2 linked regions of the Styela clava genome follow. The protein of the gene in region 2 interacts with the protein of the main gene of each other region in a pairwise test. Links are inferred from orthologs where the notes say so. Each region holds a gene or a part of one and is shown on either strand. Other genes may lie near its edges. The genes, in order: E3 ubiquitin-protein ligase CHIP-like and ubiquitin conjugation factor E4 B-like.

Evidence for each region.
Region 1: the proteins of ubiquitin conjugation factor E4 B-like (region 2) and E3 ubiquitin-protein ligase CHIP-like interact in a two-hybrid assay, tested with the Caenorhabditis elegans proteins (2 studies listed by BioGRID). The link is inferred for Styela clava from reciprocal best matches to the Caenorhabditis elegans genes ufd-2 and chn-1.

Annotation. Positions count from the first base shown.
Region 1 is NC_135250.1:2,573,804-2,584,615, reverse strand, and holds E3 ubiquitin-protein ligase CHIP-like, read right to left. Parts: upstream 4,352-10,812; 5' UTR 4,346-4,351; coding exon 3,521-4,345; 3' UTR 695-3,520; downstream 1-694. Other genes in the region: hydroxymethylglutaryl-CoA lyase, mitochondrial-like, read right to left, coding at 1-654; ectopic P granules protein 5 homolog, read right to left, coding at 7,526-10,812.
Region 2 is NC_135256.1:17,027,615-17,038,861, forward strand, and holds the start of ubiquitin conjugation factor E4 B-like, read right to left. Parts: upstream 5,084-11,247; 5' UTR 3,555-5,083; coding exon 3,525-3,554; intron 3,198-3,524; coding exon 3,116-3,197; intron 2,563-3,115; coding exon 2,486-2,562; intron 2,035-2,485; coding exon 1,922-2,034; intron 1,397-1,921; coding exon 1,315-1,396; intron 546-1,314; coding exon 425-545; intron 1-424. Other genes in the region: integrator complex subunit 6-B-like, read right to left, coding at 6,993-7,049, 7,442-7,578, 7,963-8,575, 8,767-8,912, 9,310-9,502, 9,803-9,964, 10,071-10,187, 10,495-10,586 and 1 more. UniProt on the Caenorhabditis elegans protein: Acts as an E4 ubiquitin ligase mediating the assembly of polyubiquitin chains on substrates ubiquitinated by another E3 ubiquitin ligase. The elongation of preexisting ubiquitin chains preferentially targets ubiquitin 'Lys-29' and 'Lys-48' residues.

The sequences.
Region 1 (10,812 bases), on a different chromosome or scaffold from region 2:
AACATGTTTTAGAAGCTCTTTCATTTTTATTGCTGTACCAACACCGATTGTATCACCAAGAGATATTTCATAGCATCCCATTTCGATCATTTTTAGGGCCACTTTTACCACCTCCCCAGTGGGTACTTTTCCTTGGTAAGGGCAGCCTAATACACAAGACACATATCCTCTCACTGGCACATTTTGATTTTTCACTGCTTCCAATACAGATTTGAATCTTCCCAGACTTTCTTCAATAGAGCAGTTTATATTTTTTTGACTGAACGCCTCCGATGCTGCACCAAAAATTGCGACCTCTTCAGCTCCTGCGATTATTGCTGATTGAAACCCCTTCAAATTAGGGGTCAGAACTGGGTAATTCACTCCATTCTTTTTCGCGATACCCCTCATGACTTCATTGTGGTCAGCCATTTGTGGGACCCATTTTGGCGACACAAAACTTGTTGCTTCGACAACCGAAAGTCCTGTTTCTGAGAGCTCGTTAATAAGCTTTATTTTCGTCTCTGTAGGAACAATATTTGGTTCATTTTGAAGACCATCTCGTGGTCCAACTTCCACTATTTTCACAAAGTCTGATATCAGTCTTGTGTTCAGTTTTAATTTGTTTTGTTTCAAAAATGTCAATGACGACAGGCACATCCTATTTGATAACATCTTATCTCAGTTTCTTTACTTCTGATAAAATTTGATAAAACTAAAAGAATATGGTTTGTATCATTTACCATCAGTATTTGAGATAGCAAGGGTAAATTAAACAAACATAAAAAACACACTGTCACTCAGATATTTTATATTCTAGCAAATAAAGAAACAATATTTAAAATACACACAAAATGAAATCTTGGTTGAAGCACTTGTAAATGTACACAAAAGAAATTGGAGGTAACGCAGCGGCATGGATATTTTCTTAAATTTGGACTTAATATAGAAGTCCTTAAAGATTGAACTTGGAACAACTTAATAAAAGACAATCAAAATGCAAATCATTGTGATAGTATTGTTACATTGCTCATTTTATTCTGATATACAGGGTGTCCATAAAGTCCATTCACAATTTTAATTTTGTTATGAAGTCAATTCTCAATATAGCTTAACCAGATTTGTTATGTAGGGGCCCAAACAATATATGGTATCGGTAGATTCTTTTTGCAATTTGAGAATTTTTTATGAACATCCTGTATTTGTACACATGGAAGACTAGGAATTTCAGAAGTAAGCAGAAAGCAACACATGCAAAAAGGTTGACATGAGTATTTAATAAAGTGCAAAATCACAAAAAATGCAATGTCAAAAACCACTATCCAAATCATTTCACGAGTAGTAACAAAAAAGTGAAATCCACTAAAGGTAATGTTGCAGGCTACTACGAATTTGGAAGGCAATTACTGTAGAGCAGTGTTTCCCAACCTTTTTATGGCTTTCAGCACTCATGGTCCCCCTGTTCATCATTCCAGTGGTATTTATGGTGTTAATTTGGTTTGTAGATTCTAGGTTCCATACGTGTTATGAGGAGCAGGTCCCACCTGAGACTTGGTGGCTTACCCTCTGGTCCACTTATCTCATAAACTGGGCTTATGTCCCTTTATAGCAGTGATTTCCAAAGTTGATTGACAGGAGGCCAAAATCAGAAGCGGAAGGATATTCGTGGGCCAGGTGAGCGCCCGCAAGGGGCGGTATCTGAAGCGCAAAAAGAAAAAAACATAGTGTAGTGAACTATTTTACTTACATTCGGTGGGCCATGTCAAACTGCTGGCAGGCCAAGGTTTGGGAACCACTGCTTTTTAGCAACTACCAAAATAATAAAACAGCTTAACAAATACAAGGCAATAAAAAATGATATAAATATAGTGAACCGTGTGGCAAAAAAAAGAGAGTTTGAAATAAAAAAAATATGTCACGAGCAACCAGTGCTCCGTTTATTGAAATACAGGATGGATGAAGCATTGATCTAGAGCGGGGGTTCTCCAACCTTTTATGTTATGGAGTTTGTGAAGAAATTGACTATTATTTACGAAGCCCACAACAAATTTATAAAAATGATATACTGTTACATAAAAATGATTCTCCAGAAAGCAACACCAAGCAACTTCTTAACTTCATGTTACATTTTTTCTATTTGCTCCAAGCAACCGGTAGGTAATTCGCCCATACTCGGAGGCAAAGGGGCGAGAAATGAAAAAACTTAGGTCCTAGATCAGGGATTCCCAAACCAGGGGTCACGACCCCAAAGTGGGTCGGAGTGATAAGTAGGCAAGGTCGCAAACAGGTCATGGAGTCGCTTAGGTATGGTAGAGGATGGATGTACAGTCGACTAAGATTTGACAAACCATGTTAAATTTAGCAGTTTGTACCATGGCTTACTGTAAACAGGCCCATAAGCATGGCTCTCTGCTTGTGCTATAGAAAATATAAAGTGCTTATTGTGACATCACTGTTTGGTTTTACCTTATTTTTTTACTTAATACCATCACATGACCAAACTCAAAAGTCCAGTGAAAGAAGTTTATATATATTGACCTGGGGTCGCACTGGACACTTGAAAGTTGTTTTTGGGGCCGTCCTGACAAAAACTAGGGAACCCGTCCTAGATGAAGATAAAAGAACAAAATTATGTCACCCAAACAAAAAAATGAATGTTTCACACAAAAAGAAAGAATACTGTGTAAAAAAATCTATATGTACAAAAATACACTTGAAAAAAATTTAAGTATTGAAGTGCTAAGATCACAAGCCTATTTAGAGTTTTGATAAAGAGAGGAGCAAAAGAAGTGAAAGTGACATCATAATACACTCTTTTGGATGAAAGGTGAAGTTAGGCTATCATAAAGAGGTTCTCTAAACCCAACCACAACAACGAAGTGCTCAGCAAACAGGCTAGGAAGACTTTCTGGAAATCCCTAAAAAAATGCCCATCTCGCATATGATGGTTGGCACATCAGATTCGTGTTCGAGCTGCATGGTCAAGCAATGCAATGGTAGGCACATTGGACCAGTCAAAGATTGAAGATACCAGGTTTAAAACCCCCTGTCCACCGCATCACGCCGACATTGTCAAATCTGTCTTTTCAAAATCATAGCATACCCTTACGTATCAGTAACCTGCTTGTCCAGGGCTTTGTTTAGAGCAGATGTAGGCAACCTTTGAAACAGAAGGGCCAGATACAAATAACTGGTGAAACCATGAGTCGCATCTTTATTTAACATAGGCTTTCTAGTATTTGAGGGCCCAAAAATTTTGGTTATCAATCTTATGACATGCGTTGCTCGCATTGCACAAGCTCAGGTATAGGATTTGGGTCCAGGCTTTGCAACGCAAATGGATAGAAATAACTTGAGCGTACCATTTTAAACTTAATTAAAAAACTTGTTCTGCGGGCCGAACATCATTCAAAATTGGCACTTCTCAGCGGGCCGTATAATTTCTCCTTGTGGGCCGCGGGCCACACACCCCTGGTTTAGAGAAAAAGTTCCAACCCTCTTATATGATTTCACAAGAAAGCGTTTAAATTAAAATCACATCTTAGTAATCTTCAGCCCAACCATTCTCTCCAATAAATTTCTCGATCACTTCGTGTATAGCCAGATTAGGAATCAATTCACTAGCAGTTAGTTTTTGTCTGGTAACGGGATCAAAATGTCCGACCCTTTGCAGATGTTCTTCGAGATCTTTGCGATCGTAAGTTATTCCACTCGGCGTAATAACAGGATCCTTCATAATTTCGAAACTAATTTTTCCGCATAGGAAATCTGGAACTTCACGTGTTTTCCTACGATCATCTACTTGTGCAAATAAGTTATTTAGTTCAGTTCGACGTTCCTCGAATTTTTTTTCTACATTTTTTCGGTCTGTATCGCTTGTGGAGTCGTTTTCGTCCAATTTGGTTATCTCACGTTTTTCGTCTTCAACCATTAAATTAGTGAGATAAGTTTGTAGTTCAATTTCCTGTGAAATACGTTCCTTTTCTAATTTATCCCAGCGTTTTTTCTTCGCGTTTCGTAGCATCGCTGCAATATCATCACCAAAATTTAATTTTTGTTGTTTTGCGAGTGTATGTGCTTTCTGTAACTCTGAGATAGATTCATCAAAATTTTCAAGCTCTGCAGTAGCATGTCCAAGAAAGAAGTGACCCTTGACGGATTGGGGGTCATAATCAAGGGCAGTTTTGCAGTCGTCAACGACGGCTTCCCATTTTTGTAGCTTTATGTTGCACAGAGCCCGATTTGTGAAGAAAACAGCATTATTAGAAGTCTTATTTATTGCCTTCGTGTAGCATTTTATCGCTTCTTCATATTTTTTTTGTGCAAACATACGATTACCTTCTAACTTATACTGCATGGCAGTCATTTTGATTATTTTCTAAATTAAAAAGACAAGATCACATTAATAAAACAACATAAATAATATATAACTTTACAATAAAATTAATAATATTCATTTTACAATTTCAATATTGCAGTGTTGAAACAAGCATAGATAAAAAGCACAAACAAAAATATAATATTTGCTTCCAAAAAATCATAAATACCCAATAAGCACGGTCTTCATTACCAAAATAACAGGTGACAAAAAAAAAGAAAACATGTTTTAATGCAGCTAATTAAGCCAGTTAGAGACGAGGGGTGTGCAAGCGGCGGCCCTCAATGAAAAATTGTGCGGCCCACGAAACGAGTGTTTAATTTAGCTCAATCTGCCCATGGGGTTGCAATGCCTTAACAGCTAGCCTAAGTGGACAGCACATGTCACAAAATCAATAATCAAAATTTATGCGTATGCAACTACTAGAAAGCCTATGTTAAATTAATGTGCTGCCCGCAGTTTCATCCAGTTATTTGCATCTGGCCCTCATGCACTAAAGGTTTCACACCCTAAGTTAGACTATAGCATATAGTTAAGAAGCCATTTATTCATTAATACTGGCAATATTTGGACTATTTATTATTTGCTATCAACATTATGCAAAAATAATAATGGTTGAGGAAATGAGAAGCACATACCATACTCTCTCAAAAATGAAGAAGATCAATTTTTAAGCGAAGTTACGAACAAGAAATGATAAATTTTGCAAGAGTAAGACCATGACACAGGGACCATAACACTAATATGAATTGTTTAGCTAAATTAAAATGTTTTTTTCAGCAACTTATGAACCAATGAATTTCAAATTTTCGACATTAAGAGATGCAAGCCGGTAGAGCATTACTTTTATATAACTGGTTTGTTACTGCTGAGAGAATTCACTTTTGAGCTGATAATAAATTTAACATTGAGCACAAATAAAAAGAGAAAGTCAAAAGATAATAGTATACCAGTATTTTAAAAGACGAACAAGCACCTATCATGTCCCCTAAATGCTGTGATCATCACCAAAATCATACAGAATATTTAAGCAATAAAATGAACAGCATGCATGCAGATTGTCAATAAAATAAACAAATAATAAGAACAGACCATTTCTATGTAACAATACAAAATAATAAGCAATGTGATATCACCTGATGTGGAAAATGACCCAGGGCGCCCCTCTTTTTGAAATGTAAAAAAGTACCCAAATAACTAAACACAATGAGATGGATAATAACAGAAGGATTTATAATAAAAATATCGATTCCTGTGATGAAAGATATCTGTTAACACTAATAGGGAAATCGGTGGTAGTAAATTTTTGGAGGGCAGGTACAATTCACTGAACTCATTAATTCACAACTACAGTTAGGCTCAACTGTACAACGTCTTCACCCTGAATAAAGAAATGAGCAAGCATTCACAGATACGCTAGGAGCCAGGGAGGGGTCAAAGATCGGGACCAACCCCTCCCACATTAATTTTTCGTAGCTTGAAACGCTTTTTAGACCCTCAAAACCCCTAAAAAACTACGTTTTCAGGCCAGACTTGCTAGCTGTTATGGCTCTAACTTAGCAATTAGAAATTTTAGAACCCCCCCCCCCTTATCAAATTTTCAATTTTTGGATAGGCCCCTGCAAGTAGTTACCATATAAAGGTTGGTTCATTTTCAAAAAATTGGATTCCTTTGTGCAATACAAAATTTGGGTTGAAAAGGAAATTGACAGCATGTTTGAATTGTGTTTACAAAGCGCTTGGGTTTTGGGGCAAAGATCCTTATCAAAGCATCCCTTAGTTCTATGGACATTCATGGCTCATATATAACAAATAATAAAATCGGAATTGGTCAAAAATTCACTCCACCATCCATCAATACTCTGAGAATAATACATCAGCAACAAAAAGTAGAATACTTATTGACAAAAGTAATAATAAAAAGAAGTACGAAAAGCTACAATGAACACTTTTTAAAATCGGATTTCAAAAAGACATTTTGGATGTCAAATTCAGCAAAAATAGGATTTATTAATGTGAAATCTATTAAGAAGATTCGGTTAGGAGATCAACTAATGAAGTTTGAAATACGGTAAACAATACAGTATTTTTGGTAATTTTGGCATCAGCTTATTTTAGGTACTTGCTTGAACTGTGCAAATTGTACCAAGGAATCTCAAGTCCATGCAGCTGAACCAATTAACTCAGGAGTGGGCAATTAATTTTCCTAGTGGGCCAGTTACTGGTAATATACTTGGTTACTGGGCCGGAAGCTCAAACTAACTGGTCGACTATTTCCACACCCTACTCAGGTACTTTCTCAGACCGTACCAGGCAAGGTACAGATAGCCAAGTTCATGCATCTGAAACTAAAGATTGTTGGTGTTTCCATACTGGTAAAAGGCTCGTAATATGATTAACTACTATGGCATTTTATTCTATTAGCCATCAAAATTTCTATCGAAGAGTTGAAAATATTAAGACATGAGCTCCATGACCTAATAATAAATTTGGGAATCCCCATCTGCAAATGAAAATTAAAAGTTTTAAGGACATACACAAATGAATTACAATATACTGTAGATCAAATTATTGTAGTACCAGTACAGTTCAATAGGGATTCTTTTGGAACTATGCTGACAGAAATAGGATCTCAAAATTTAAAATACACATATAATTAGAGCATAGTATAATGACAAATTTACAGACAAATATTGCAAAATAAACAAGGAGAAATAATCAACCTTACACCCCAAATTGGCCCCAAAAGTTGGCTGTGATTTGTGGTTACGATAATACAAACAGAATAGGTAGTTTAATTATAATGATATTATGAAAGAACTTTGAAATAAAACCTCGCCTGGCTACGGTTCAGGCCTAAAAAACTGAAGGTTGATGAACAAGTTATTTAGAATTCTAGAAACGAGTCTGCAGAGTCTGAGTGTTTTTTATTGGTAATAAAATTAATTCAGCAGTTCCATTTTTGAATACTGTGTGGACTCCTAGCTTTAAACTCCCAATGGCAGTGTATAAAGTCTAAATTTCTGATAGGAACCTAATAGGTCGAGATCTTGTTGGGCATAAATTTTCCCAGGCTCCCCAGCTAAGATATACCGGTAACTAACTTTGTGAAAAGGATACATGAATACCAACATTTTTGGATATGAAAAAACATTTTTGAAATTACAATTATAGAACATTCAACCAATCAGCCTCCTTTTGATAATGGAAAGCAAAAATATTTTTCATCAAAGACAAATGGGCAGCACATGTAGGCTTATCACTAATCTGTTGTATTAGGTCTAATAGTTCATGGATTCTGTCAATTTCTTGAGTGTACGTCCGATTTTCAAGAGGCATTTTCCGTAGACTATCAATGGCTACTTGAGCTTTGGTAAGAGTATCCTCTCCTTCGGGCCGTAGTCGTGCTGTTATCTGTTGAATATGAACTGAGATGCAACGAATAGAGACTCGAAATCCAATTGATAATGAAGTAGCACGTCCGATTCCAAAAGTTCCGAGTATGCCTGTCTTAACACGGTCAGTACTCCAGTGCTCTAACACGGGAAGAAGTGAATGAAAACTCTCGGAAACTGAGCTAAGATTAACTTCAGATTCTGGGGAGAGTTTAGCGTCCTGTTCCAACGTATCACAAACTTTCAATGCATATCCAATTAAAAGCAACAATTTGGCTTCATTATCGCTTTTCGGAATCAAAGACGAGATCCATTGTACAATAGAGAAAAAAGCACTATACATTGGGCCATTAGAGTCATTTCCATTGCCGCAACGTTTCGCTTCATCGACTATATTTTGCGATAATGCAAGTATAGTATTAATGCACCCATTTGATAGACATGCTTCTATAAGCTCACTCTGGGAGACTTTACAAACTTGACTTAGGGTGTGGCAAAGATTCTGCCACAAGTTCAAAACTTTTGGGAGCCTATCGTCGGATGTGGTTTTATCCACTTCGTCGTTCACTTCTGGGTGATACTTAGAAATCAATTTCAAACATGAATCAAGCCCGTATTCAGCCACTACAGCTAAATGCAGAGGACTTGAAATTGTGTTTGCTGCCGAAGATAGAATGCTTGTCAAAACCAAGTCGACAGTTTGTAGAGATTGTGTGTCCATTGACAAATCAAGCGTCGATAAAACAACTTCATTAAGGAAACTTAAAATCTGTGATCTTGTGATTTCCTGTAATTTCGAAGTAAATGTATTCATGCTTCTCCAAATTTCGGAATAAAGAGAGGAAAGTCTAGTTTCGTCAATGCCAGAGTCAAATTGTACGACAAGCAAAATACTTCTCATTAGTTTCATAACTAAATTTGATGTCACAGCTTCTAGAGTTTGAATTTCACGCTTATTTTGTGTCTTGGCTGAGTTTCGAACTAGTGTCCCTACACACCGAATAAAGGATTGTCTTTTCATCCACGTAATATCAACAGTCTCTTTTGAATTGCAGTTTTCCATTACCTTTTTCCAGTCAAAATCTTTTTCCAAAACTGGCAACCCTGAAGCGATTTGTAGTAGTCTCAAAGCAGCATATCGTGGTGATTGTAATTTCTGGTCTTCACAGTCGAAAATTGTACAGAATGCGTGAAATTGGTCCGCAATTATATTGGCAATAAAATCAAACTGGTCATAGCCAATCAAATGCCAAGGAAAAACATCGATAGAAGTCAATAAATGTTGCAATTTGGGGTAAGAGTGTAATCTTGCTTCATTTGAGCTCAGAACATACAAGACATGTAACAAGTAGCATAATACTTCAGATGTGTGTTCTGACCACTGATGTGTAGCATTTTCAGGGCTCGAAATAAAACACATTTTCATGATAGCTGACCAGTCAATTTGTGGTACAACATGGCATAGGAAATGAAGAGAACAATCAATTCTAGTGTTACAAAGTTGGACCATTTTGTCTAAGTCTGTTAAATTTGGAATAAATTTATTCCAAGGTAAAGCGCTGAGCGTGGTTTGATAAGAACCGCATATGTAACTTGGTGATGTCTTCTCATGAGCTAAAAGAGAATTGTTAAGATAAAATTCCCATAATGAAGACACACTTTGAGACACATCCATTGCTTTTTCACTACAGATCGAATTGATAAGAGTCGCGAATACTGTTAGGATAGACGACACAGTTTCTTGGTCGTCAGGTTTCCATGGCCATTGCATTTTTTCTTCCATTTTCAGCGGATCTAGCCATGCGGAAAAGAGCGGCAAAATTCGGTCCACTAAGCAGGCATGGTGGCTGAAATAGGTAGTGCCGTTTATACCCTGTTTTGATTCGTTGTAATTGATTTCGAAATCGATTAATTTGTGGAATAATTTTGTTAGAGGATGAACATATGGTTTCCATGTAGTGTACAATCCTGATTTTGTTGTTTTTCTTTCCTCTGAAAAATACACAGCTAACTGTTTTATTGCTGTATCAACAATTTCATAGGAAAGTCCACATTTTGATTCATTTTTGGCAGAATTTTGCACATTTGATTGCTGTGGATTGAATGCCGCATCGGTTAAAACTTCCCAAGTCATTGGATCCACATTGCCTTTATAACTGGCTTTTAAAAGTGAATTGATAGCCTCAAAGAAGACTTGGTCCTGTGAATGCTGAACTAAAATGCTTAAATGAGTCATAAACACTTCTTGAACTGCGGAGTTCGATAACTGCGTAGACTGGGACCTTGTGAGCGTAGTTTCTTCAGTAGAATCTTCAGGAGGCCATGAAAACGTAGTGTGCGACACTAGACCGTTTATTATGGCATCTAACAAAGTGACTTTCTCTGATTTCGGCGGCATATACGCGTCACACCAATTTTCCAAATCAAATTTTGTGATAAGTACAAAAAGAATGTCAGATGAGTTACTAGTTGATGCAGCATTTACTACACGTTTATACATGTCGACAAAAACTTTAGTATCAAATTCAGTGTGTAAACTGCCCTCATTTTTGACTCTAGAACATGATTTTGCTGGCGAAAAATGCGCTGAAAGTAATGCAGCTGTCTCCGGGCGTTTCAGCATCTGTTCTAAAAGGGTAACAGCCTGATCTGGTTGTCCATAGATGAAGACTTGCCCTAACATATCAATACAGGTTATTAGTAAATGCCTCGTCGGGGGGCACTTCCATCTTTCATCAGAATTCAGATCTGCAAGGTTATAGAAAAGCTTTGCTCCATTTTCAAAAAGCGCTTTGTCATTATCTGATGACTGTGCTTTTTTCAGTAATGCTTGAACTACCGTTATTAAGTGAACAGCAGAGTAGCTGAAATCTTGAGATGTGTCTGGATTTGTTAAAACGCTGATGATTTCCCGGTACGATGCTCGATTCTTTTTCAAATTTTCTGAGGCAATGTCGTTCATCGATTTCTCAAGAAAGCTTAGTGGAAATTGAGCTGGCCCTGCGCATCTGTGTGTTGGCGAGAATGCTGATTGACACTCTACTTTCACCAACTTACGCT
Region 2 (11,247 bases):
TCAAATTCACTAGTTGAAAGCAGCGCTTTTTGAGCACTGAATGAAAAATATAACTTCAAAAAGTCAAGTTTAAGGTTGTCTAAATCTAATATGAATATTAGAGGAACAATATCAGTATTTATCAAGAAATTCAGATAATCCCAGTTTTTATTATATACACACTAGTGAATTCTGCCAGATAGATACAATTAGATTAATCAACAACAAGGCAGAGTTGTATATCATATATTGTTGATTGAACATAATCTAAGTATATCAAAATTATAGCATTGCAGTTTAGTATTTAGAAAAAACTTTAGCGTGTAAAATGGTTAACCATTCCCAAAAAAGATTCACATTAACCAGTACTATATCTATACAAATGTGTGTCTGAGGAAGAGGAAACAAGCACCACAAAAATGGATAGATTCAAATCTAATTTTACCTTCTTTTTCGTCTTCCTCAAGATTTAAATGTAATGCTTTAATATCATCTTCAGATATTCCAGATACTTTTTGTAATATGTCTGCTATCAATTGGATTTTAGGGATATCTTTGATGAGGACCTGTATCAATACAAGACAAACACACATTTTCGAAAATAGGAAATTTAAACCATTGATAGGATTTTTTCCAGCCGAAAAGATGGCTTATTAATAATATGGTAAAACCATGGATCAGGAGTCTAGAGAAAATTGCCATCAACTCCAGATTAAAAAAATGTTGACCCTGATACTGGGTTGTACCCAATTTCAAGTCGTGATTCCAAATTCTGATAAAAATGATATAAACTTAATGCTTTGAGTTTCTTTGAAAAGTCCAGACTTTTTAACATCATCAAAAGTCTGAAAATCAAACTTCGACTCCGAGGAAATCAGAATTTTGACTTAACTCCAGTGAGTTTGAAAATACGACATCGACTCTTGACTCCAGTGAAAACATAATAAACTCTTGACACAGCTCTGGGTGAAACATAGCTCGGTTACCAGTCTATTATTGAAGCAGTTATTTGTTTCAGATGCATGGACATGGTAATAATATATTATGGGAGCAAAAAATATTTAGCCGACATTAAAGTAGTTCTTTTTCTTTTATTCCTACCCCCAATGAACATTCCTGTATAGAATTCCTTTTACCAATTTGAGTATACCAAAAAAGAAACCAGGATTGGCATCTCAACAGATAAGCATATTGATTCTTCTTAACCATATTTTTTGCCAATCATAAGACACCGAATGTATTTTTTACATAGTTTTGATTGAAGACTGTCATATAAGATAAAAACAAATTACATTGCAGAGTTTTTTTGATTTCCAAACAAAACAGAAAACTCACCATATCATCAGTCTGAGTTGATATCATATTGTCAACATAATCATTCAATGAAGCAATACCAGAATCCACATCCATTGATATGCTACATTTAAATATTATTGATGATTATTTATTTCATTTTGAACATCCCTGCGCTAAATTTATTTTTTGTTTCTTAATTCTAGTCACAGATGATAACAGGCAGCGATTTCATGAATTCTCCAAAAAGTGGATTCGCTTTTTCATACATTTTGATGGCTTTTCTGTCATAACTTTGACTCAACATGATTAAAGAATCATATTTTCTCTTCGTGAAGGAATGCAGTGTAACTGTATTTTTATTGTATTTCTGGCAACTAGTATTTTCACAGATGACTGATCATGACAATTGTACACATAGTACATTATAGTAGGCCCCTACGTTATTAGTACCATCATAGCAAGTAAGTTGCATATTAAAAAATTAACAGCAGAAATGTGTCTAGTCGTATATGTGAAAATATATTTGCTCCGTTATGTGTGTCAAACACTATCTAAAATGATCCCTTTTATATAGACTAATGTCTGAATATAATTGTCTGAGTTTGACAGCATAACTGTTAGCAAAAAATTCATTTGTATATATTACCTAGAACTTATAGCACCAGTTAAAACTTCCAGAGGGCGCTTTGGATTTGGAGACAAAATATCATCATCTTCTGCTTGAGAATGTGGTATGCTACTGCTATCACTTGCCAATGACTGCAAAAATAAAATTATTGTCAGTATCAGAAACATCAGATTTTATTTTATTCAAAATACATGCTTTGGAATATCAAATAATAAATCTTTTGTTTGCCATATTCAGTGAAATCTTGATTCAATTTATAGTGCATATCAAAATTTTATTGCAGAAATTAGCCATCTATAGCCAAAGTGATAGCCAGGTCATATCGCCATAAAAACAATTTGTCAATGGGAAATTGTCTCTGAATAAAACCATCCATCCATTCATCTTACTTTCCAAGCCAAATGCATGTCGTATTTGTTGCTCAAAATCGTGATAATGGCTTCAATATGGAATCACTTTCCTAAACCTAACATACAACTTCAAGATATCAACCTCATAAAACATAAAAAATTTAAATTCAAAGTTTTTCAATTTCAGTTGAATACTGATACTTATTCAACAATGACTTGAATAAAAACTCACACTTGTTGCTGAAGATCTCGCTACTTTATATCTTGGACTTGAAAATTCTGGTGAAGTATCTAGAGATTTAGAGTTTCCTGTCAAATAATGTTCAATAAAGCATGAATTTAGATATGATCAGTGACAAATCAATGAAGCGGCTCCAGCCAATAAGCATGTATTGGTATGGTATTGATTACTTTGCTTGAGACATAAAAAGACAGTCTTCGCAAGGATTAGATGAAAGGAAAACGGTGGGTTATATATAGATATAAACTCGATTAGACACTTCAAAAAACTTATGCATACAGAAAGATCATGCTCAATTCCAGTGATTTTTATCTCGGTAAACTGCTGAGCAGAAATAAAAAGTGTGTTGTTTGGAAAGAAAGCGGTAGAAACAAACCAGGAATTTTGAGAGAATGAAAGAAAAGAAACACTTTTCAAATATATTTTAAAATTATGATTCACAAATAACCATTTTTTATGCTTCCAATCTTGCTCAAACGCATGTACATGTTAGCACAACCATATTGCAATGTATATGCTCACAACTCTGATATATGCATGAATGTAAAGGTACTTCTGTACACTTTTTGGGAGTCAGATTTCGTTGTATAACAATATGCAAATTAGAAAATATTTATGAACCTTTTTTGCTTTCTTTATCTACTGGAGTTGACTGTGGGGAGCTAGTATCTCCGCCTAAGCGTGCAAGCCGGCGTCTTCGCATCTGCATCAAAAATGTCGGTAAAAAATGCAAACAAACTGAAAATCGCTTACTCAACAAGTAAAGAAATCCAATATTAAAATTATATGTAAATGATGCCCAGAAATATGATTTAATCATTATAGCAATAGGTCTATAATTCTTATCTTAATATTCCATGTCACATGAAGAAATACTCCCAGTTATCAACTTGTACAACTATACCATGGCCCAAGTCCTTTCGTTGTGAAATATATCCTATAGGACATTTTTATTTTATTACAAAAAAAATATAACCAAACTGTTTACCATGTACGGTAAAAGCATACCGTAATTTTATTCAATTCTTACCTCATCTTGAGTGATTGTGTTTTCACTCATTTCAGTGGTAGGTATTTGTGTAACAGCCGACCCAAGTGAATCATACAAAAATTAATTTTGTCTAGAATAATTATTCTTAATTTATCTAAAAACATAATAATGTTGAACACAAATTAGGTTAATTAATAAACCATCAAAAGCACAAGTAAATATAAGTTTAGTACAATAAGCATAAGTACATCTCAGACATGGAGTCGTTATAAGACAAAAGACAACCCAGATGTGTGATGTTGAACTATATTCAATACCGGTATTTTGAATCTTTGATCTGGAACACTAATAATAGGAGTGACAAAACTTATCATATTTTATCAGTATGACAAAAATCATCAGATTCTTTTCTACTGTAAGTGAGTCGTAATGGAGTCTAGTCCACGATGACCGACAAAAAACATTGGATGGATGCCTTATTCCAAAAGAAAAGTCATACATAACACTCTCAAAATCCAACAACCAGGTTTAGACATTTGCTTTTGGCCTTATGGGCAAAATTTGAACTTATTGACACATTTGTTACCTTTGTTCCATACCTCACTTTATCACACACCAAACCAATGACCATGGATTGCTATCAGTTTTGTACAACTGGACCCCCGACTGCGGCATGACTACATTAATTTAACATAATTTGACTGTAATGACTGAATGATGATGAATTTTTATTTCGTTGGCTTTTTTATTATTAAATATGACACATAACCTAAAGAAAAAGCATGTATTTTTATAAAAGAGTAAGAAGCCACAATTATTGAAAGTCTCAGGAAGGGGACCATCGATTATGAACGTTTGAGAACCACTGGTCTGAATTGTTTTCCTGATGATTGGCCTGATATATGCGGTACTGTTGTGCCACCGCTAACCTACCATGAGTCTGTAACATGGATTACTTTTTGCTTCCCATTGGAAAAAAAAACTTTTCCTGGATGAAAACAACAATAACTTCTTTCTTCAGTTAGTGAATAGAAACAACCTTTTATTTATTTTTTCTATTAAAATCTCGATAAACAATATTTTCATCAAGTGCTGCTGCATCTTTGAGAACTTTCATAAACTTTTGATTCAATTCTTGAGTACCTTTGTCATCAGGATTTGTATACTTCATATTTTTCTTTATCTTTATTTGACTGGAATCTTTCATAATGCTCCAGTACATAGTGTAATACACAATACCACCAACCGTTGTATAAAACAATAATTTGTAGCCTCTCATGAGTCTTGTACTTATGAAGAAATTTATGTCACAATACAGCAATAGTAATAAAGAGATACTGTAATGGAAAAAATGATATCATTTTTGGAGAAAATGAAAGATGAATACAGGAATATGTCTATCAAAGATGTCAAGAGATAACAAAAAAAATCTTACAGACTTAAGCTGTGTTCAAAGCAAAAATTGTCTACAGTCTGACAGTGGTGACAGCATAAAGTTTATTAATATGGTCAAGCATTTAGCTGGCCTCAATTCAGTAATTAGACTTTCATGCTACCACTGTACCAACTGTTTTCAAAATTGTTAGACAGGTGACTTTGAGCAGCGCATTTCGAACATGACAGAGAACAGGAGAAGCTGTTATAGACTTTTATAGTGTTCTTTTGACTGTTTTTGATGGAGGGGCATGTACTTCTGTACTTGTACGTTTTAAACTTTTTTTGTAAGTTATGCCCATCATCCTCTGCATTTTGTTTGTCAGTTTGTTGTTGTTTTGTTTCTTTCAGAGTGATCGAAATGAAATTGATTGATTGAAACTCCGTTTAGTTTAAATTACCAACAAACATGGATAACAGTATGAAGTGAGACATTTTCAAAATAGACTGATAGATGAATTATTGCTGAATTCAGGCATTGCATTACCTACCATACCATATTCATTATTTCCTTATATCACTGCAGCACTGTGCTATAACCAGATAACACCTACCTTCAGACCTTACAACCGTATTGTACTTACTGACCTAACTTACCGTAGCTTAAGACAATGACCTTCCGGGCCAACTTTCAGACAGTCACTGAACACTGCAACATCTGAACATGCAGACGTGTCCAGATGCCTGTATGTGTCTACCTAACCTCGTAGCTTTGGTCTCTTGGTGGAACCATTCCTTCTGTCTGTCTGTCAAGCTCAACTAAACATATCGACTGCGCTGTACACATTCTGTGGCAGAGTGACAATTGCAAAATTCTGTAAATGCATAGCAACAACAACATGGGCGAACGACTGGAAAGAAAGAAAATGCTGACAAACAGCTGAGTCATCATCAGGCGAATCCGCCAGAAGTGACACATACACACATTTCCCTCAGTCGTGGGGCCGCCAGATAAATGAATATAATGAATCTCTATCAACTCGTTGTTGCTCTAATTTACGGGTTAAGTATGATATTACCTCAAGGATAAGAATCATTATTTGAACGAAGAAATAACGATGGTTGAAACTTATCCCAATATAATCTCTTTTCACTTCTATCAAAGTCAGCCCAATGAGAATATATATTCCCAATATATACTGTATATATCAAGATTTCTGAATATATGTTGTCATTGGTCAGACGGAGTTATCCTGTGAGAGTGGAAAATGTGGATGCTGAACCAGATGATTTATCACCCAGTATTTCAAAGTCTCCTAGCCATTTCCATGCTCAAAGGGCAATATTCTGCCCAAACAATTTATCAGTGTATGGATTCCTTCTAGTGCATAGTTTCTTGGATAGGTCGCCGACCCTTCGCATCGCTTCACAGATACAATTTCTAATTATTTTTTTATCTTTGGACCTGATGTGAAAACTGTTCTACATGCAATGATAAATCTATCTGCACCAGCTTTAAAATAACCATATCAGCTTTCAATTTCAAGACCACTCTCCATACCTACCCGAATTCAAGCAAAAATAGACCACTGGTGCATTTCTCACATTTTGGAACAAACAGCTCAAAACAGAGCAATATCACATGATAACAACAGTCAGCTTGGTGTGTGGAAACTTAAATTGGACATATAAAAAAATTCACTTAGAAACAAAAATCCTGCAGAAGAATACAAAGACAAATTGAAAAAATTGTGTTAATATAAGAAAGACCAAATATGATCAAACTGAAGATCAGGAAATATCAGTATTGTATATCTAAAGAGGATAAAGGATAATCCATTATTATCCGAGGATAGTTAGAATTGCAACAACACCTATGATCTGGAACAATATAAAATGTTTTCATCTTATTGAAACTGAACATTAGAAGAATTTTAAACTGAGATGAAAGCACCACAGAACAGGTCAATTCAACAGGTGTTTACTTTTATTTCTCAGCGCCTCAACCTTCCAGCAAACACTGATACTTCATAAAGTCAGCAATTCTGTCACTTCAGCATCCGCCAATATCACACGAAATGATCACCATCATCCTTTGTCTTTATTGTGCTCCACAGCATAATTTTTATTCTGTCATCTATCAACTTTGTGCGGTTGCGGTGATGAAGCCAAATGTTTCTCTAATGTTTCCTGTGCAACAATAATATTCAGCTTTGAGAAAAAATTAATGGCACCAGATAGCAATGTTGTGGGCAAATAATATTAAAATTTGATATCACACAGTAAATTAATCACATTAGTTTGCTTTTCAAAATAAATTTAGTATGAGGCAACTTCCAAACTGATGTGAATACAGGCTCTATATACCGCCATTTAGATTGCATTACAATGGGCATACATTACCATATACATTATACATATAGACATGCAAGGTGAAATAACATTATATGCCAGTCATTAGCATCATGACCTTATTTCATAACAAAGTCATCATTAACACATTGCATTGTATATTTTGTTTTAATCTTGATTAATAAAAATAATATTATTTCTCATCTTATATTATAACCTTTACTACCTACTTCAAATTTTTTCAAGTGCTGAATTAAGTTATCTTTTTTAAAACGATGTGCTTCTTTGATCACAGAACACAACACTGGATGCCAACTTGACTTAGGACCTTTTAATTTTTGAAGCTCGTTGAAAATATTGATGTCATCTACAGATAAAAAAAAATGTTGGACAATTCAAAATATGCAAATGCTGATGAAATGGTAACTGCAATAAGAAGTGAATTTAATCCATCAAATGAGGAAGGTGGCTGTACTAATGTCATCATAACGGAATTACTAAAATCAAATCAATGATTTAGTGATGGGATTCACTCGAGGAAGTTACATTTCAACTATTTGCATAAAACTCATTTAATCTCTCAAGTGATAGCCTTGATAGAAAATCCCATAAGCATATCTTCAGTTACAGTAATGATGAAGTCCAGTGATAGCCTTGATAGAAAATACCATACCCATAAAAGATAAGCTTAGCATCAGTTACAGTAATCAGTCCAATTAACAGTGGAAGTTCTTATTTTATGTGTACTTACTTTTTCCTGGTTTTCTGACAAACTTAATTACTGTATCCTTGATGCTAGAGTTTGCGTTTTCAATTTCTGCAGTTGCTTTATTAGATTTGGGTTTTTTCTGTTTGTGTTTTCTATGCATAGTTTTCCATACACTGTCATTTGTTAAACCCATTGAATCACTTAGTGACATATTATCAGATCCTTTACCATTGAGTAAGTCTGAATGCTTCAATTTTGGCTCCAGTTCTATCATTTCCGACATATTATGCTTTAAATTAGATTTCAATGCTTGCAGCTTGGCTGCAATATCAGAAGGAGTCGTTTTAATTGCAGATGGTTCAGTCAGTTCTAAAGCACCATTGGGAGGACGAGTTTCTCCATTTAAAAAAGCATGAGGTAAAGAATTATGATTATCAGTAGTCTGATGGTTGGTAACCACAGCAGCAGGGTTGGTTTGATTGTTGACGAAACCAGGTGTGGATAAATGACTCTTCTTAAACACAGGTGGTGTACCGGGTCGCATTGGACTAGCTGATCGCTTTCTCCTGTTTCTTTTTCCGGCATCGCCTGATCTACCTGATTTATTACCAGATGATGGTGCATCATAATCTTCTGTTTCATCAATCATCATGCCCTACAGGATGGAAAATCCAATTAACTACCAATATTCAGATTATAAATGACAAAACTTTTATACCAGCCCAGACTTCCCAGGTCATTAAATTAATTTTATGCTGTACATTGAAGATAAACTAGTAATACCAAGGACCATTACTCAAACCTGTTAGAAATTCTTCTAGAAAACCGCCAAAACGTTACATTTACCTTTTCTTTTGCCAGTTTGAATGGATTTCCAAATGTGTGAAGTCGTTTAGGTGTGTCTGGATCAAGTTCCCTAAGTGGTTGGGGAAATTTCTTCAAATATTCTTGGTAGTTTCCCATTGTTGAAATTGGTTGATTGTGCAATTCAGCTAAAGCAAGATGTAAAAGTTTCAGCAAACCGTATAATACCAGATAGGGTATTTATTTAATTTTAGAGGAAATAGATCAAATGGCCTAAGCATATGTTGAACCATAGTCTCTCGTCTGGTTACCAGTTAGCAAGTGGGAAATGGGAATAGTTGACCAGGTATTTTTCATCTGCATGATGGGGGAGAAATTCGCAACCGATCAGTGGCTATGTTAACCACCCTACGGCACTAATGAGTCCAGCTGTCCTCTCTCACATTTCCCCCTCACAGGATTTAAAATCAACTCTTGATATCATATAAAAAAAATATGAAATGAATGATGGGTAGTTAACCAATCTCTGCATTCCATGATATCTACTAGTAAAACCCGATCTAAGGGGTTTTATTAAAAAGGTACCTTTGTCTTGAAGTCTTATTCTTGTTAACTGATTTGATGATAAAACTCTGTGGAAATTCACTTTCATTTTCCGAACTTGATTCAAAAGTTGAGATCTTGGAACATCAAAAGCATTATGATACATCCGCCTTCCTTTCATACCATCCCCCGAATTTACCCCGATGTGAAAATTGGGAAATTCATTCAAGTCAACCTGTAGTAAAAGAGCAGGGGGGCATGTAACAAGACTTCTATGTATATGTATCACATAACCAAATGCATGTTGTATTTAATGCTAGCTTATTCTATTGTAAAAAACTATATTTAATCGGCAACTACATCTTGCATTTTGAAGACATACAGTGGATAGTATGCAGATCCTACTGTACAATAATTGAGTAAAAAAAGCTATTGGATTAAATGAGTCTTTCCATTTTGACTCCATCGCGTGATAAGGATCACTTATCTGTCTCTGAGACTTGAATGGTATCAAAATATCAATGCAAACCATTACCTTTGGCATCAAGGATGCGTTTTCAGTTACAGAAGCGAGAATTTGATTAAAATTGGGAAGTTGTGTCACAGAAAGTGTGTTGTATCGACCAGAAATGCTGATTCCTTTGTTGACGTAAGGAGGTATGTGTCCCACTGAATTCATTATTCTATCAGCACTTGCCTGTAAACAAGACACAATGGTATAAAGTAATAAAATGAACATTTATTGTTAAATAATATCATTTTGATAGAATAGCTTGAAATAACTAATAAAATTTAGTTTTTACCTTGGCCTGTTGCTTCAATTTTTTGAAATATGAAAGTACAGAATGACTAAGACCAACTTCAAGAGAATCTGGAACAAGATTTGGAACTCCAAGTTGCCGCATTGCTTTTCTTACAGCCTAAAGATAAATATTCAAAACTGTGAATGACATACTTAAGCTGAAAGTATGAAAAATAAACTTATTTACAAGTGTATATCAAGTACTTGAATATACAACATCTTGGTACTACCCATTTATTATATCATATTAATTTTCACGAGAAATTTCAGAATCACTCTTTATGAGTTTTACACGTTTTTCTCTTGAAAAAAAAACATCTGCTATGATTGTTATTTTTACCACACACGGAGGAAATTGACATTACATACAACAACCTTAAACACCTACCACACAAGAATTTCTAATTCGAATATAATTTACTTACACCAATATAATAACTTGGTAACATTTTTAGGTAATCTTCAAGTTCCACTCTCAAGCTCGGAATCATTTTCATCTTGTTTTTTATCAACTTATCTAGAAAATAAAATTGATACAAATTTACCTACATTATTCAGAGAAGAAAAAACGAACCATTTATCATAAGAAATCCCTGGACTTATGATGACTATATTCCTTCTCAAATTTATTTGCTGTATTTAAAAAAAAAATTGCAGTCGATTTTACATACTCAAATAAAACATTGGAAGAATCTTTTCACTTCAGTAAACCGAACCGATTAGACCTTCGATGATTTGACCTCAACATTTTAGACATATGTTAAATAGATCTAGGCTATTTATCTGACAGCAGGGTTAATTACATAACTATTATTTAAAACTGTATGATTCTGTTCACCATTGGCAGACACTAAATAATTAAATAGGCTACATCTTGGCCAGTAAACTGGAATATCAATGACCACCCTACAACACCAAGCCAGTGCTAAGAAACACAGTGAATAGGGTCATTACATTACAATCTACATTTCTTAGAAATTTGATAATTGCTTCAATCCACCCCAAATGTTGCTGTTAACCAATCCTGCTAATTGGTCAGGAATAAAATTACCAATTTTCACATGAAAAATAATCTGAAAAATTTATAATCTATACTTACTTATCAAAGGGAGAAGAACCGGATAATTATATGGCATTACAAATAAGTTGACACAAGATAAATTTGAACTTGCTTTGAG